Lonchura striata: one gene and its partner. Each later gene encodes a partner of the first gene's protein in a complex. Links are inferred from orthologs where the notes say so. Each region holds a gene or a part of one and is shown in the gene's direction. Other genes may lie near its edges. The genes, in order: KCNJ4 and TAX1BP3.

Region 1 (8,112 bases):
AATAACTGCGCTATTTTTCCCTTTCTTTTTTTTTTTCCCCTTCCTATTTTTTCTTCCCTGCTTGTCTCAAGTTACACACGGAAGTGTGGTTAAAGGGGAAAAGGCAGAGGGAAGAGGATTCCCATCCTCTGGCCTTGAGGACACACCCTCCGGCGAGGGCCAGACTTTCCAGGAATATTCGCCACGGGTGCAGTAACCTCTGTGCTGCTTCCAGCCTTCTGCTCTCTGCCCTTACCGGCCCCATCCCACCTGCAGCACCTTCTCACCAGTGCTCCACCTTGGCTCCTGCAGCCAAAGAAGAAGTGGAGAGATATTTGAATTATCAACCCATTGCAGCTCTTCCACAGCGACAGCCATTCCCTGGTGTCTGCCCTACCAGACACCCCTTCCTTCAGATGCCCTATCTGGAGCAGAGTGGATCCCTGAGCACAGCCATGGAGAAAGAAAATATTCTCCCAAGGGCTGGTTTGAAACAAACTTCACTGAAAATATTAATCCTGGATTCTTAGAAGGAAATCCTGGATTCCAGAGGGTTACAAAAAATGTAGGGAATTTGTTGAGTGAAAGAAGCATGTGGTTGCTGCTGGTTTTATAGATTTCACAGAAAAGAGCTCAGTAGTGAATGTTAGAAAGTTTTAATATATTTGAAAATATATTAAGCCGGGTGACCAGCTTGTTTTGGATGAACCTTGTCCTCGGAGCAGCAGTTACACAGGGAGATCTCATGGCAGCAGCAGAGAGACCTCTGCATCAAGATCCAGCAATTAGGTAGTCAATAGCTAATCACTAATTCAAAGCTGCTTTAGTACAACCAAATGGAAGTTGTAATTTGTCGCCTTGCCCTGAGCAAATCGCATCTGGCCACGGGTCTAATTTGGTTACCCTTGGATTGTGTGATCCTGCCTGCTCCTGTCCCAAAGTTGGCTCTGGCTGCTGCCCTCCCTGTCCCCAGCCATGACTTTTGGCCATCCTCTACGCATGTCTCTCTCTCCTTATGGGCTTGCTTGGAGTAAAATGCTTAACGACCAAAGTGTAAAAATATTATTCCTGGTGCTTTCCGAGAGGATTAACAAGCCTATTAGCATCACCGGCTCCCTTTCTGAATATATTTGCATACATTTCCTCCCTGCCCATTAGGTTGGCGGTTGTGTTTTCCCTCTCTGACGCTCCAGCACCTGCATCACAGGGCTTTTCCAGATGGATTCACAGGCCGGGTTGGAAAACACCTGCTCAGCCCCACGGAACTGGAGACGTCCCTGCCTGTTCCCAGCCAGGGCACTGAGGCAGGGGTTGCTGCGGTGGGTCAAGGGTGGGTTAGAGCAAAAGAGACGATTGGCAAAGGGCAAGGACTGCCTGAATTGGGTTTCCAGACATCAGAGTGGAGCTGCCTGGGATTTCAGCAGGGCTTCACAAGGCCATGTGGGTGCTGGTAAAAGCCAAGCCCCAGCCCTGGTGGCCCTGCAGGTCCCTGGTACCCCAGGTCCTTTTGCAGGTAGGCAGAGTTTTGATCCATGGAGCAGGGATGTAAAGTTGGGGGGAAGGAACAGATTTGGAGTCCTTTCTTCCAAGAAATCCCCTTCCAACCCCCTGGTGTGCAATGTCTGAGAGCCTTTGTCTTTCTCTTGTCCCTGCACTCCTCTTTGCAGCTTCTTGTCCCACCCAAGGAAAGAAGTCCCCTCCAGAGAAAGGCAAAGGTTTATTCTCCTCATCTTGCACCTTCCCAAGAAGAGCTGATGGGCCCAACTCCCAGCATTATCTCCCACTCTGGCACCTGGAACCACCAGCTGAGGTGACCATTAGAGGGACTTCATGGGAGCAGCCCAATCAAGCCCACCCAGCTGGAACAGGGTGGTAAGGCTGGGGTGTCCCCATGGAACACCATCCCTGTGTGGTACATGGGGGCCATAGGAAAGCTGCTGCAGTGCAAGGGACACCCAGGCTCTTAGAGACAAAACTGGCACATGGAGTGGGACCAAGTAAAAATAAACCTTCCCTCCTCCTGCCCTGCCACAATGCCAAGTTCCTTGCGCCGGGTGTCTCCCTGCCTCCCAAAATAATGCCGGGTGCTGCCACCACCCCGCATGGTGATGCTCTCTCCATGCCTCCCGTTTCCATGGTGACCACAAGGAATGTCGCCAGGGTGACAAGGAGGAAAGTGAGCTGGGATTTGATATTAAAAATGAGATTTTGGGGTTGTTTGGTTTATTTTTCTCTCTCTCTCTCCCCCCCCCCCCCAATCCCTCCTCCTTTAGTTCTATTTTTGGGGTTTCCCTCTGCCTCTGCTGGTCTGGAAGGCTCCTCCTGCAGAGCCACTGGGCCAGAGAGCAGCAGCTTAATTCAGGGCCCTTCTCCACCTCTGCCTATGAGGTGATGGCTGTGGGATGAGAAGAGGGACAAAAGGGCATTTCCTAATCACTAAAACAAATGTTTCCTTCTATCAAAAAGGCTTCTCTGCTTTTGCCCCTGGTGGTTCTCCAGGTGTCTCCCTCCAATTCTGCTGCAGGATGTAGATCAGGCTACATCCAGACCTTCTGGGAGAGTGGGCAGTCTCAAGGATTTGTCTAAGAGAGGGCAATGATTCTGCATTCCCAGAGGGGCTGGGGAACACGGTGGGGTTGAGCACCATGGGTCACCTCTGTGTCTCACCATCTCTGCCCCCATGACCAGATCAGGTTGGCTGGGCAGTTCTGGAATGCTGGGGACAGACAGACAGAGATAGGATGGTCGGTGGAAGATTGCAGACGGAACACGGCAGGTGCTAAGGAGCCCAGAATTTTGCTCTCTGGTTTAAACACCCAAAGTCAGACCTGCTCAACACAGAGAAGGCTTGACGGTTTGTGCTGGCTTAGCTGGTATTACAGGAGTGCAGGACCACGGGTGTCCAAGTAGGGGCTGCTGTCATACAGGTTGCTCGTCTCTTGATGCCCAGGCAGGAGAAGAGGCAGGCAGTGTTTTCTCACCTTCCCAGGAGCTCTTGCTTTCCACTGTACCCATCTCTCCATCCATCTCCAGCCATCCCTCTCATCCCTTTCTCTCTCTATCCATTCTTCCCTCCATCTTTTCAACCACCCCTCACTCCTCCTCTCTCCATTCATCCCTCCAAAGATTCCTCTGTCCATCTGTATGGCACTCTTTCCCTCCATCCCTCCATCCCTTTATCCGTCCCTCGTTCCACCCTTCCATCCCTCCATCCCTCCATCCCTCTGCCTCCCTCAATCCCCACAGTGGCACTGGGAAAGGTTGGCGGAGTGGGGCTATTTTTGGGAGCGTCTCCCTGGCAACGGCTGCCACCACCGTCTGTGGTGGTTTTTACATAGGTGCTAAAATATTCCACACTTCTTATTAAAGACGGTGCTGGTGGAGACGGGCGGGGGCGGCGAGTGTGAGCCACCCCGCTGCTGGGGCCGGCGGCCATGGGGCGGTCAGGGCATGGCACTTGGGGGGCACAAGGACAGCAAGGGGCCGGTGACATCTCCAATGTGGCGTCCCCATGCCCCTCTCGCTGCCTCTGGAAGGGCCACTTGTCTCTTGGCAGTGTCAGGCTGCCACACCATGCACAAGGTGCAGCTATCTACCCTCCTGCTGCAAAGGCAGAGGGAAATGTGGTGAGGCCTCAGAGGGAGCCAGCAGTAAGGAGCAAAAGGCAGAGAGGGAGACACCCCACTTGAGGCTGAGGCGGTCACAGGGCTGCACTTGGCTTTGCCCGCTCTGGGAAGGAGCAAGATGTCTCAGGCCCATCTTCATCCCTTTACCACATGAAGAGGAAAGGCCTGCTGTGGTGCCAGAGGGATGGTGCACTCTGCCAAAGAGCAGCTGGGCAGATACTGGTCAGTAGCTCTAGGGAAGCAGCCCCAAAACAGGTCCTAGAGACAAAGCTTTTGGGAAAATACGTACCCTCTGAACCTGAATGAGGTCCTCATAGGGATGGCTGCAGAGGGAGTGGATGGGCTGGCTCTGCTGCATCCAGGTGCAGCAGCTCCCCAGGAGCAGTAGGGAGCAGCCATGGGTGCACTGGGGTGAACTGACCCATTCAGCAGGCTGATGTGCTCCTGGTTTGCAGCTGCTCATCTGCATGGAGCTACTAAACCCACCCCAGCACCCTCTGCTGCCCCGGCAGTGGCTTTGCCAGGTGGGAACAGGCTGTGCTCACCACCGCAGTGTTCACTGGTGCTGGCAGGGCACAGCAGGCTCCACAGCATGTTGTGCAGGGGTCATCCTATATGCCACACCTTGGGAGGGTTTTGGGAGGGAGGGTCATAGTCCTTGCAGGATTGGGACCCAGAGGAGACTCAAAAAATGGGTTTTTAAATATTTTTTGACTTTTCAGCACAGGCCTTAACACTGCGGACAGCATATGAGGCACCAAGACAGAAACCATGTCCTCAAAAATGCTGTTCTGGAACAGGGCTGTCCCCAGGATCCTGTGCCTACAGCCACTGCCTGTGTAGTCAGGAGTCTCTTCAGCCTCTGTTTTTGCTGCAAAATCTCTCCTTGTCACCAAGAAGTGACCTTTTTAAAGCCTCTGAGATGCTGCTGGCCGTGGAGACCCAAGAGAGGTTTCTTGGACAGGTTTCCCAGCAGGATGGCTGTGCACTATCCTGGAGCCCTGAGGTCTAGTCCCTCCGTGTCCAGCTCCTGTCCCAGCATTACTCTTCCCGGCAGGAAATCACCAGCTCTGTAGCGTGGGGAAGCAATGCCCCACAGCAAACAGCATCAGCTGGGAGAGCCTGGTCCTTCCTCGGGGCTAGGTGTCAGCCCAGCACCCCAAATCCAGGTGGGAAAAAGCCCTCTGACGGTAGTTATTTAATCTCTGTGCAGCCGCCCAGGAGGAGGATTCACCTCTCTGGCGGCCCCACCATCCCCTTCCCGCTGGGGATGGTCGCTCTGTCTCCCCCATGGCGGCTCCGCAGCTCTGAGCTCACACGCGAGGATGGGCTAAAGTAGCGGAAAGCTGTTGGATCCTACCACAGAGTTACTGACTTCTCAGCTACAGACTGCATAGCAATCAGCGAGGGGGAGAGGCAGCCAGGGAAAGGGAGCGGAGCGCAAAGGGAGGAAGAGTGTCAGGGAGAGGGGGGATCTGGGGACTAGAGCAGGGGGGCAGCAAGGGGCACGGGCAAATCATGCCAGAGAAGGAGGGAGCCAGGCAGGAGGGGGAGACCTAAACCCGTCGCTGAGCCACGAAGGCACATCAGCACTCCGTGGGATGGACGCTCCTGGGAGCAAAAAATTCTGAGAGGCAGAGGCAGAAGGAGAGCGCTGGCGTGGGCAGGGCAGAGTTAGGAGAGGAGCAGGTCGCAGCGGAGAAGTAGCTCTTCGGAGGGGAAAAAAATAAACCTAGGCTGGAGGCGAGCGAGGACTGCAGAGAGACTCCCCTGATTCCTCCGGTCCGGCTGAGACATTTCGTGGTGAGATGGAAAGACCGGGCGCTTTTCCCTTCCTCTGATGTTGGCTCGGCACGGCTGGAGCAGGCGGCAGCCCTCGGCAGGACCCGGGTAAGAGGCGGTGCCGGGGCGCGCTGCTCTCCGCACCGGCATGAGAGCGCGAAGGGTTTTTCTCCCTTCGGAAAATAATGTATTGTTTCATTAGCGTTCGCTCTGAGGAACAGCTATAAATATAACTTGGGGAGAGATGCGTGGCTTCGTGTGAGCGTGCCAGTGAATAATAAAGTTGCCTTGTGTGCATGGCGTATGCACGCACAGCTACCGGGGCGGCCACGGGCCGAGGGGCAGGGGTGGGCTCCTGCCTCTAAACCTCCCCAACTTCCCTCCCCGCCCTCTCGCCACCCTAACTTCGGTCCCTTTGTAGGTAACTTCTTCATTTTTTCAGTTCCCCGTGTTTTCTTAGTGTCTTCTCGCCCTGGGCTGGATCTTGCTCACCTTTTACTTCTCCTGCTCTGTAGACTCTTCTCTGTGCTGGTCCCAGCCAGTTCACACAGAAGGAGGCAGCTGGAGGCCTGCTCTTCAGGCTCTCGGGTGCAAATGGGGCTGAAGTGGATGTGTTTGTTTTCCTGCTGCTTGTGGAGCTTTTTGGGCTTCAGATCTGTCCCCCTCTCCATTGCCGTCCACCTCTCCTAGTCCCAGCAAGGCTGATCATGCCAGTGGTGGTCCAACACCCCCCAGACAGGCATGGTGCAAAGGGTCTTCTGGATAGTGGCTTTGGGTGAAGGAGCTCAGGAGGAAGCCAGGAGCAAACTACCAGGAAAACTCTGCCTTTGCTCCCTGTTCAGAAGGTCGGCTTCCCCACCAGGACAGGAGTGGGCAGGCAGGTTTGCATGGTGCTGGCAGATCACCCCGGACATCCCTGGCCCATCAGCCCCCAAGGCCCTCCCTCCTGGGCAAATAGCCTGGAGTCATCCAAATCCTTTTGGCAAGAGCCTGGCGCTTCCTATCCCTGCAGCCCAGCCCTGACTCCATTGATGGCAAAGCAAACAGCATCTCTGGGGCCTCTCCCTTCTCCCCTTGCTCCCCTTGGGGGTGTGCTGTGAAGGGCAGAGAGTGACAGAAACTCATGGCAGAGGTGACACAGCTCCAAGGCTACCTTCAATCCCTGCTCTGTGCCCTCCTTGGCTGCTTGGGGGGAGTCATCCACAGGAGATGGGAGGTGTGGAGATGAGCCCAGGGCTTGGGGTTATCCGGGGCCTGGGCGGGATCAGGAAGGTGCATGGGGAATACATCTTGACAGAGACATGGGAATGTGTCCCTTCTCCATCCACCACCAGAAGTGGCACCCACAGAAGCCTGAGACACCCTGGCAGTGTGTGGCCACTCCTGTTTGCAGACACTGAAAATAGTAATCAATACAGGGCAAATTGTGCTTTAGTGGGAAGCATGAATCTGCTGGGGACAGGGAGTGGTGGGGAAGAGGACAAAAGGTGAGGATGGACACAAAGGATAAGCTGGAGAGGGCTGATCTGGAGGGAAGCGGGTTCCCTCTCCTCCACCATTTTTTTCTTCCATCTCTCCCCGTTTGGGGATCAAAGTGCTCAGATCAAGTGCCCTGATGTGTGGTGCTGGCAGGGGGCAGGCAGTGGTCCTTGTCCCTTGCAGTCCCCCGCCATGGTTTTCAAGGAAAGCCAGGAGGTGGCTGGGGAGGGATGGAGTTTCTTGGCAGGACCAATCCCCACTGGCCCCTCCAGCTTCTCGGCCACCCCAAGCTCAGCCACCGGCCACGCCCGGGAAGCAGCTGCATCCCTGGGGTGGTGTCAGTGACAGGAGGCGCGGTGATGGATACCTGTGCCCGCCGCACGCTGCCATCAGTGCGGACGCCGAGCGGAGCAGTTAATGGCCCCGTGCCCCCAGCAAGCCCCGCTATCCCGCCTCGTTATTGCACTGGGCTGGCTTAACCCGGCACTGCGGCCAGGGATCGATAGATGGATGCTGGCGTCTCAGCAATCGATCTCTTACTCATCCACGCGGCTCCCAGCCTCCCGCTGCCGCTCGCTTTCCTGTGAATGGCACGGGCCGACTGGAGCCGTCTGCGCTTGCCTCGCAACGCTGCGAAACTGAGTCAGGCTAAATTCCTGCTCCTTGACGTCACTGCTCCTGTGCCCCTTACCAGGGCGGAGAGACCTCACAGGGAACCCCCAGAGCCACCGGCACCGGTTTTGCTCGCCAGACAAGGTGGTTTTAATGGTGATGGCTGGGATTGGAGCCCCTTCTTGGGAGAGATACTGATTCTCTGGCAGAGAGGGGCTTGGGACAGGCAAGAGCTGCTTTTGAGCTGGTTCTCGCCCTCAGACCTCTGAGGCTTGTTCTGCAGCAGTGAAGGTGGTGTCGTGGCACGGGCTGCTGAGGGATGGGAGTTGTCTGCAATGTGACCCTGTCCCCGTGGCCCCAGAGACTCATGCACCTCCACGCCTGTCCTCCTGGGAGCCTGGCAGCAGGCAGCTTGCTCCAGGGACAGTTTTGTCATTCACTCACTGGTCTATCTGGGAAGGAGATGCCCACCATCTCCTGGCACCAGCCATGCTGGCACAGCAGCACCACTGCTGCTCTCACTGGAAATCAGAGACTGGAGGGTGGAGAACAAGGTACTCCAGCCCGGCACCTCCCCACGCCGCCAGCCAGGGGCTCCTGCTGCCGCTCTGCCCACGCCCCTGCCACCATGGCA
Region 2 (7,996 bases), on another chromosome or scaffold:
GGGGTCGACTACCGGACGCTCATTAAAGCGTACGGAATCCGCTTCGATGTGATGGTGAATGGCAAGGTGAGAGCCAGGTCAGGATGTCCCAGAGCCTGCAGAGAAAGGAAGTGGGGGGAGGCAGCTCTGCGAGGAGGACAGCCTCTCTGGCTTGTTGTAGAAAGGGCTTTTCCCATCCATCCATGTGGAGCTAATCCCCATGTGAGAGAGATCACCTGTAGTGCAGCTAAGCCTGCACCTCCTCTACTTAAAACCAGGCTCATGTAAAGCCTTAACAGAAATAAATGTGCCCCAGAGGCTTGTTTTCCATGTGCAAGCACTGCAGAGAGAAAAAGCCTAATCCAGGGATGATGCAAGCTCAGAAATGCAGTTAGGGACAGTCAGATCTAAGACACAGAGACCTTCAGCCTCCACTGCAAATCCCCTGTGGTTGTGCCTGGGAACAAAACGCACCCAGGGGCAGCAGCAGCTTCCCCAGTGCAGTACCACACCCTTGAGTTTGTTTTGTGGGTTGTTCTCTCAGTGGTGACTTCATGACCTTTGTTCTTCCAGGCAGGGAAATTTAACATCATTCCCACCATTATCAATATCAGCTCGGGGCTGGCACTCATGGGAGCTGTAAGTGAATGTTTTATCTCAAAGTAACCCCAAGGGACCCACACCCCAAATAGGATGGGGGGTTTAAACCTTCTCCAGCAGAATCTTTACTACTCAGCCAGGTGTGTGTCTATGTCCTCCTTCCTTCAGTGCCTGGTTCTTTCTTAATAAACCTAGTAGTCTAAACACCCCCACAATCTGTATATTACATATACATACTCTGGAAAATGCATGGACAATGAAGGCAAACACAGTTTCTACAAGTTATCCTTTCATTCATGCTCATTTCTAATGAGTTCAGAATACTTCCTCTTCCTTTCAAAGATAAACCACAAGTTTTTTTCCCTTTGCAGGGAGCTTTCTTTTGTGACCTGGTGCTGCTATATTTGATCAAGAAGAGTAACTTTTATCGAGGCAAAAAGTATGAGGAAGTCAAGTAAGTGGGCCTGGTTTTGTGTTAAAAATCATGGCTTTTTGTTAAGACTGATAGAAATAGGAGGACATACAGGAGCACAGTTCCAGGGAAATATATTCTTCCAAATTATTTTGGCCAAGTTATTGGCTTCCTCTGTAATTCCTTGCTGCAATGAGCTGGGAGGAAAGGCAGCTGCTGTGTCAGGGTTGGACTGGCAATGGCCTCGTGAAACTGAGATGTGGAGGGGCTTTTGGGGTAAGGTGAGACAGGCCTGGCTGGGAACATTTTTGCCTCCTGAAACAAACCCAGGCTGCTCATCCTGTCCTTGTGCCTGTTTGCCCAGGTCCAGCTCCAGGAAGTCCTTGTCGAGCCCTACGCTGAACGGGAATCAGAGCCCAGAGCAGCTCGGCGAGCTCTAGGCACAGCAGTGGCTCTGCCAGCTGGACTCCTGCTCCAGGAAATCCACACTGGTGTGGCACCACACCAGCACTGGGAGGTGGATGTACCCCAGGTCAGGCCTACTATGATCAGGATTCCCAGAGGACAAAACCTTCTTTAAAGACTGTCTTTCTTCCCAGAGATTTCTCTGGTAGCCTGAGCTTGCAACGTGTTGTCACTATGGATTTATAAAAGGATTTTTATAAAAGGACAAAGAAGGCACAAAAATGAATGTTTTTATATCCACTGATAGATATATCTGTACTTATGCCAGTAGCCAGCATTGTCCTGTGGCTGTGCTTTGCTTCCACGTGGAGAAAAGCTGTGATGGGAGCACTTTGGGAAGGGCTGAAGCTGAAACCCAACCTGTTTCCTGCTCTGCTGCCCTGGCAGCCACTGCCTCCAGCTCCTGCCTGGGTGATGTGACATCCGTTGTGAAGCAGCAGGACTGCTCTGCTCAGGAAGTGCAGGGAAATGTGGCATTGGAGCAGCTCTTGGGGCTGGGAAGGGGCTGTGATCCTGCAGGGCCTGAGGCAGGGGGGCCCTGGAAGCACCTGCACAGCTTCTGCCTCCTTCCTTCAGTGCCTGGTTTCATTTGCTCGGGACTGTCCTTGCTGTGTCACTGCCTGATTCTGTGGTGGCAGAGCTGGATGGACACTCAGTGCCTCTGTTTCTCACAGCACCCTGGGCTGTGCTGCACACTGAGAAGGGCAGCTGTGCCAGGGACATGGGCTGGGCCAACCTCCTCCAAATACACCAACAGCAGGGAAGTTAGAACATATCTGCCTGCTACTTCAACACCAGTGACCTCCAGGAAATACAAGTGCTTGTCTCTCAGCAGCATCAGTCTCCTTGCAGCCTATTTTGTCCATTTATCTCATGTGGGGAGGTGAATAATCTCAGAAAAGGGCTTAAGGAATATGATTGTGTTCTGTACATGCTGCCCCATCACCACTGTGAGCTGTCCTGATAAAGATTAAATGTTTTTGTGCATGCTTTGAATACCAAAAGTTACAGGGCTCCTTCTGCAGTGTCTGAGGGTGGCATCAGGGAGCTGCTGCCATCGAGCGTCTGCACAAATGGCACCAGCAGCTGCACCCAGCTCTGCTGTAACTTATTTAAAGTCGTTACTCTGAGGTACAGGTTCATCCTAAATTAAAGTTCACCTGTTAGCAGTGGCAAACTCTGAACCCAGCCACTGACAGCAAACCCCACCCAGTCTAGGTCCCCACCTCTGCTTCTGTGTAGCGAGCAAAAAATGGGGCTAGAAAATAGAATTAAACAGTGGAGTTCATTTAGGTTAAGCTGTATACCTTTGGTGCTCTGATCTCATCCAAAACCTTCTCTCCATGTCAGAAGTCTCTCTTCAAGGCAAACACAAGTCACCATGTGGGGAACTGCACAAGAGTTACCACCAGGCTTTTGACTGTTAGGGTTAATTAAAACTCTGTGTTTCACCATCTAGAAGTTGTGTAATTTCTAGATGGTGAAACACATGAAGAACCCCCCCATGTGACATCAGGGCCTGGCACAACTCCTGGCACCCAAGCAGCTCCTCCTGATGTGCAGAGCTGACTGTGCTCTGCTGAAACCATTGTTTTAACTTGCCAAAACATCCTCCTGTGAGATGACCAAAGCTATTTCCTGAATCTAAGTCTCCAGGCCCCCCAGATCCCCTAGAGTGTTTCCTTTCTTTAGACTCTGTAACACAACTCCTACAAGCCCTGCTGTTAATAAAACATAACCAGAGTCCTTCTCAGGACTTGTTTCTTGACTTTGACTTTTTTTTTCTCCTTGTGTTTCTTGTTCAGCAATAAAATGTGTCACTTCAGGCCAGTGCTCCCTGGGAGTGTTCTGTAAGTGTTTTTTCAGGTCACACCACCTTCTCCTGGTGATAGTGATGTGAGCACATTGATGAATCACTTATTTTCACAGAACAGGGCTATAGGAAAGGCATTACCTGGATGGTGCGTGATGGAATTATCCCCTATTGTGGCTGTTCTAGAGACCAGTGACAGTGCCATTTACTGATGGCAGTCAGGGAAGAGAGCATTTGCATGTATGTTTCTGTGCCAAACCTTTACATCCACTTAGTTATTTCCTTTTGTCAGCAAAATTATTTTTAAGTAATTTAATTATTTCAGGTTGCCGTGTTACTGCTGTAATGTTTGTGTGTAGGGACAGGCAGCACATCCAGAGGGGATTGTAACTGGTGTGTGTATCCAGGGAATATATCAATCAAACCCCACAGCTGTGCCTGCTCTTAGGGACAGAAATTACCCCCTAACAAGGAAACAAGGAGGCATCCAAGCGGTGCTTCACATTCAGTTTTAATAGAACAGTGCTACTGATTAATTTGTACTTGGACATAATTTACCAACAGCATTAACGACACGAGCCACGGACAACAGTGTGGAAAGTGAGCCGGCCTATGGTGTAGTGACTTTTGGCAACAGTCCCGCCGCTCCGTCCGCCGCGGAGCTGCTCAGTACACGTGAACCATTCCGTACAGGAAAGTCCAGAACAGGACGTAGGTGAAGAGCCCTCCCACCAGCCCCCCCGTGAACAGCGGCCTCCGCGACTTGAAGTACTTGTTCCACCGCCGCCCGGCTTTCAGCACCAGCAGCACGGAGAGGAGGACGGAGGCCAGGAAGTAGAAGATGAAGCCGTGCAGGCCGGTGAGGCCGAGGATGCCGGCCGTGGCGCCCGACAGGGCGGACACCGAGGTGCGGCAATAGTCCAGGATGGCCGCGTTGCCCCGCACCGCCGCCTCGCTGATGAACTGCGGCCCCTCGCGCTTGGCCACCACGGCGGCCATGGCTCCGCGCCGGGCTCGGGCAGCTCCTCGCTCGCACCGACACTGAGGTGAAGCAAACGCGCTGTACGAGCCCGCCCGCCCTCAGGCCGCCGGGAGAGCCCCGCGGGCCCTCCCGCCGCCCCTCCCCTTCCTCCGTACCTCTCATCCACGGCGGCGCCCAGCCCCGCCGCTCCGTCAGGCCTCGCACCGCGCCGAGGGACCCCGCTCAGCGCCCGTCACCGCGGGCCGCCCGCCGGGCCCGGCCCGCCCCGACCGCGCCGCCGCCACCGCCCGGCCGCCATCTTGCCTTGGGGGCCGACGGGACGCGGCCGCGCGGGCGGCGCGCCGTGGGCGGGGCGGCTGCGGATTGGCTGGCGGGGAGCGAAGGGCGGGGTCGGATTGGCTGGCGGGGAGCGAAGGGCGGGGTCGGATTGGCTGGCGGGGAGCGAAGGGCGGGGTCGGATTGGCTGGCGGGGAGCGAAGGGCGGGGTCGGATTGGCTGGCGGGGAGCGAAGGGCGGGGTCGGATTGGCTGGCGGGGAGCGGGAGGCGGGGCCGGGCGAGGCGCTTTTGTTCGGGCGGCGGCGGTGGCGGGGCGGACATGGCGTTCGTACCGGGGCAGCCGGTCACCGCCGTGGTGGTGAGTGGGCACGGGAGGGGCGGGCACGGCGTTCCTACCGGCCCAGCCGGTCACCATTATCCCGGGGATACCGTGCCGAGGTGGCGGCTGCTGGCGGGGATGGAGAGGTGGATGCGGGTGGTGCCCGGCAGCGCCCTGCGCGCTGTCACGGGCGGAGGTGCCGCCCCGGGGCAGCTCCGGTTCGCGGGTGCGGGGAAGGAGCGGGCGAAGGCTGCGGGGTTAGGCACGGCACACGGGTGACGGTGCCGGTGCCCGGCAGTCGGAGGGTGGAGGTCCCCGGGCAGCCCCGCTCCGCGGCCGCTCTGTCCGCAGCGCCGCCGGCCCCGGTTGCCGCCCCGCAGCCGCTCCCCGCTGCGTGGGCTGTCAGATTCTCCGTCCGGGATAGCGGCTGGGAGAACAGAGCGGAAACTCCGCCGGGCGGAGGGACCGACCCCCGGCCGGGGATGCTCGGGCGTTGCTTTAGAGAAGAGGGAGCGAGAGACACGCGTTCTCCCGGTACCGGGACCCCGCGGCAGCCGAGCCCAATCTCGGTGCGGATCCCCCTCTGCGAGGGCAGAGCAGGATAAGCACCTGCGTGTCTGGGTGGGGTTAGGAAGCAGAGCTTTTAAAGGGAGATAATGGCTTTAATCAGCACGAAGTGCGAGTGAGGGATTTGTGCTTTCCTCTGCCTGCAGCGGTAACTGGGGTTGTGCTTGCGTGGATGGCTCCGATGTTTGGAATCCAGGGAGTTTGGAATTCAGTGGGGAAGTTCAGGGTCTGTGTGACAGGGCCATGAGAGGAGAATCACAGAGTGGTTTGGGTTGGAAGGCACCCATGAAGGTAATCTCATCCAATCCCCTGCAATGAGCAGGAACATCTTCCATTAGATAGGGTCGTAGCACTTTTCGAGAGGTTGCTGTGTCAGTTAAGACCGTGGCTTTTCACCCTGGCTCAGGAATTAATTGCACCAGCTGGCATTTCTACAATGCTGACATAATGCACAAAGCTGGTCAGATGCCTCTGTGCATCAGGCAGTGAGGAACCTGCCCCGGGTTACAAAAGTTATCCTGAAAAAGAGCCATCCTAATAATAGGTTGTTATTTCTGCTGATAGGACTAGCAGGAACATAAGGCATGTGGATAATGAGCAAGATGAGGCTGGTCATGAGTAACTGCTGGTTATCAAGGCATGAGTCATGTTTAAAGAGACCTGCTCTGGTTTTAGTGTTGTTCCCTTCTATTCCTGGGCAGGCAGGACAGCTCTGAGTAATTGAGGGGCTGGGCTGTGTCGTGGGATCTCTGTGAAAAACAGTCTAACTGGATCTGAATTATCAGCGTCTGAAATGCACTTGAGATTTCTTCCACTTGTCACAATGCTCAGCTATTTGATCTCTTTCTCTTTCCAGCAAAGAATTGAAATACATAAGCTTCGTCAAGGTGACAATTTAATTCTGGGATTCAGCATTGGGGGTGGCATTGATCAGGACCCTACTCAGAATCCTTTCTCTGAAGATAAGACTGACAAGGTCAGATAATCTTTTTCTGTAGCAAGTCCCTCTCCCAAAGGCTGACCCAAGTCATCATCTGCCCTCTACCACAGCTACTCTCTTGCCCCATTATCACTTGTAGATCCAGTTATTCAAGTGACTTCTACACCTTTTCTATTTTCCAACATTGCATGAGCCTGTTTTTAACTAAAATCTCATAATACACTAGAGTTTTTCTGTGTTGTCAATCAAATGGCCCTTGAATACTGAATCCTTCCACATTTAGTAAATGAGCACTAATTTTTTCCCAGGGTATCTACGTAACAAGGGTGACACAGGGAGGCCCGGCAGAAGTTGCAGGACTCCAGATTGGAGATAAGATCATGCAGGTAAGCACCAAGATAAGACAGTAGTGATGTAGTACCAGCTGCACCCTGCAGAGAAGCATCTGCTGGGGAAAATAATCTTCTGGGTACTTACCAGGACAGTTTGTAGGGTTTATAAATAAACTGAGCTGTGGCATAAAACCATATCCACTACATGGTTCTGATAGAACAGTTACAGGACACCTGTGAGTCCTTGCATTTGCCTTATTTTATGTTTTTTTTTTTCCCAGGTGAATGGCTGGGATATGACAATGGTGACCCATGACCAGGCCAGGAAGAGGCTGACCAAAAGGAATGAGGAGGTGGTACGGCTGCTGGTGACCAGGCAGTCCCTGCAGAAGGCTGTGCAGCAATCCATGATGTCCTAATCCATCATCCAGCTGGGGAGGGGGTGGGAAGGGAGATGTATAGACTGCTATCAAAGAAAGAAGCAACTATTAGACTGGAACAGGTTGTCTGGAAGGAGTGCATGTTCCTACCTGTGGTAAACACTACTTTTTTATTTTAACTTCTTCTGGTGTAACTGGCAGTAGTAAAACAATACTCCCCTCAGCAGAGTGCTTCTCTAAAGTCTGCCCTGCAGGTACATGGCAAGACTTCTGTAGTCATGACTTTCAGGACAGGACAGACCCAAGTTATCTAAGAGCAACTGGAAAAGCCTTAACTTGGACAGGATTCTTCTGTAGCACAAAAGCCTCCTATTTTAGGAGGAAATGTGGTTTCTGCTATGGGAGACCAGAGGGTTTGCTGTGCCTAAGCTTTTAGAAGGGAGCTGTCCTGTCCCCCACATTGCTACCAAATTCATATGCCAGAGTTAAGAGCTGCACAGTGCTGTGGGGAGGAGCACTGTACTAATCCTTCACTGTGTGCAAGATAGAGAGTGGCTGAAAGGTTTGGGGCATTACAGTTTCCTGCAAAGATTCCCTGGACAAAGCAGCCTCTTGAGGCAAGAAACAGCTGAGTAACAAACAAGTGTTAGATCAATGCCTGTGAAGTACACTACAATTTAATGGACACTACAGTTCAACCTCACTGGCAGGGTAAAACCTGAATTCTCCTTACTCCCAGTTTGTACCATCAGCTGAATTGAGTTTAATTGAGCAGGAAACAAAGCAATGTTCCTGAACCTACCAGAAATGCTGCTCATAGCTGTAGAGTTTTCAGGCCTTCATTCCACTTCTATCTGACTTGAAATGGGAGGGATTTTGGTTTGTGTTTTAGAAGTTTCTGCTTAAATCAGTGATTTATTGGATGGAAGA

What was found.
Region 2: the proteins of KCNJ4 (region 1) and TAX1BP3 are in contact, whole or in part, in a crystal structure (PDB 3GJ9), measured with the Homo sapiens proteins. The link is inferred for Lonchura striata from reciprocal best matches to the Homo sapiens genes KCNJ4 and TAX1BP3. Residues at the interface, in NP_004972.1 of Homo sapiens: Arg440, Arg441, Glu442, Ser443, Ala444, Ile445; in NP_055419.1 of Homo sapiens: Leu27, Ile28, Leu29, Gly30, Phe31, Ser32, Ile33, Gly34, Gly35, Asp38, Gln39, Gln43, Asn44, Thr58, Arg59, His90, Asp91, Arg94, Leu97, Thr98.

The regions. Positions count from the first base shown.
Region 1 is NC_134607.1:23,762,331-23,770,442, reverse strand, and holds the start of KCNJ4 (inward rectifier potassium channel 4), read left to right. Parts: upstream 1-4,992; 5' UTR 4,993-5,495; intron 5,496-8,112. UniProt on the Homo sapiens protein: Inward rectifier potassium channels are characterized by a greater tendency to allow potassium to flow into the cell rather than out of it.
Region 2 is NC_134622.1:8,398,573-8,406,568, forward strand, and holds the start of TAX1BP3 (tax1-binding protein 3), read left to right. Parts: upstream 1-4,800; 5' UTR 4,801-4,847; coding exon 4,848-4,886; intron 4,887-6,270; coding exon 6,271-6,390; intron 6,391-6,662; coding exon 6,663-6,740; intron 6,741-6,967; coding exon 6,968-7,105; 3' UTR 7,106-7,996. Other genes in the region: P2RX5 (P2X purinoceptor 5), read left to right, coding at 1-66, 553-618, 951-1,033, 1,356-1,431; EMC6 (ER membrane protein complex subunit 6), read right to left, coding at 3,936-4,268. UniProt on the Homo sapiens protein: May regulate a number of protein-protein interactions by competing for PDZ domain binding sites. Binds CTNNB1 and may thereby act as an inhibitor of the Wnt signaling pathway. Competes with LIN7A for KCNJ4 binding, and thereby promotes KCNJ4 internalization.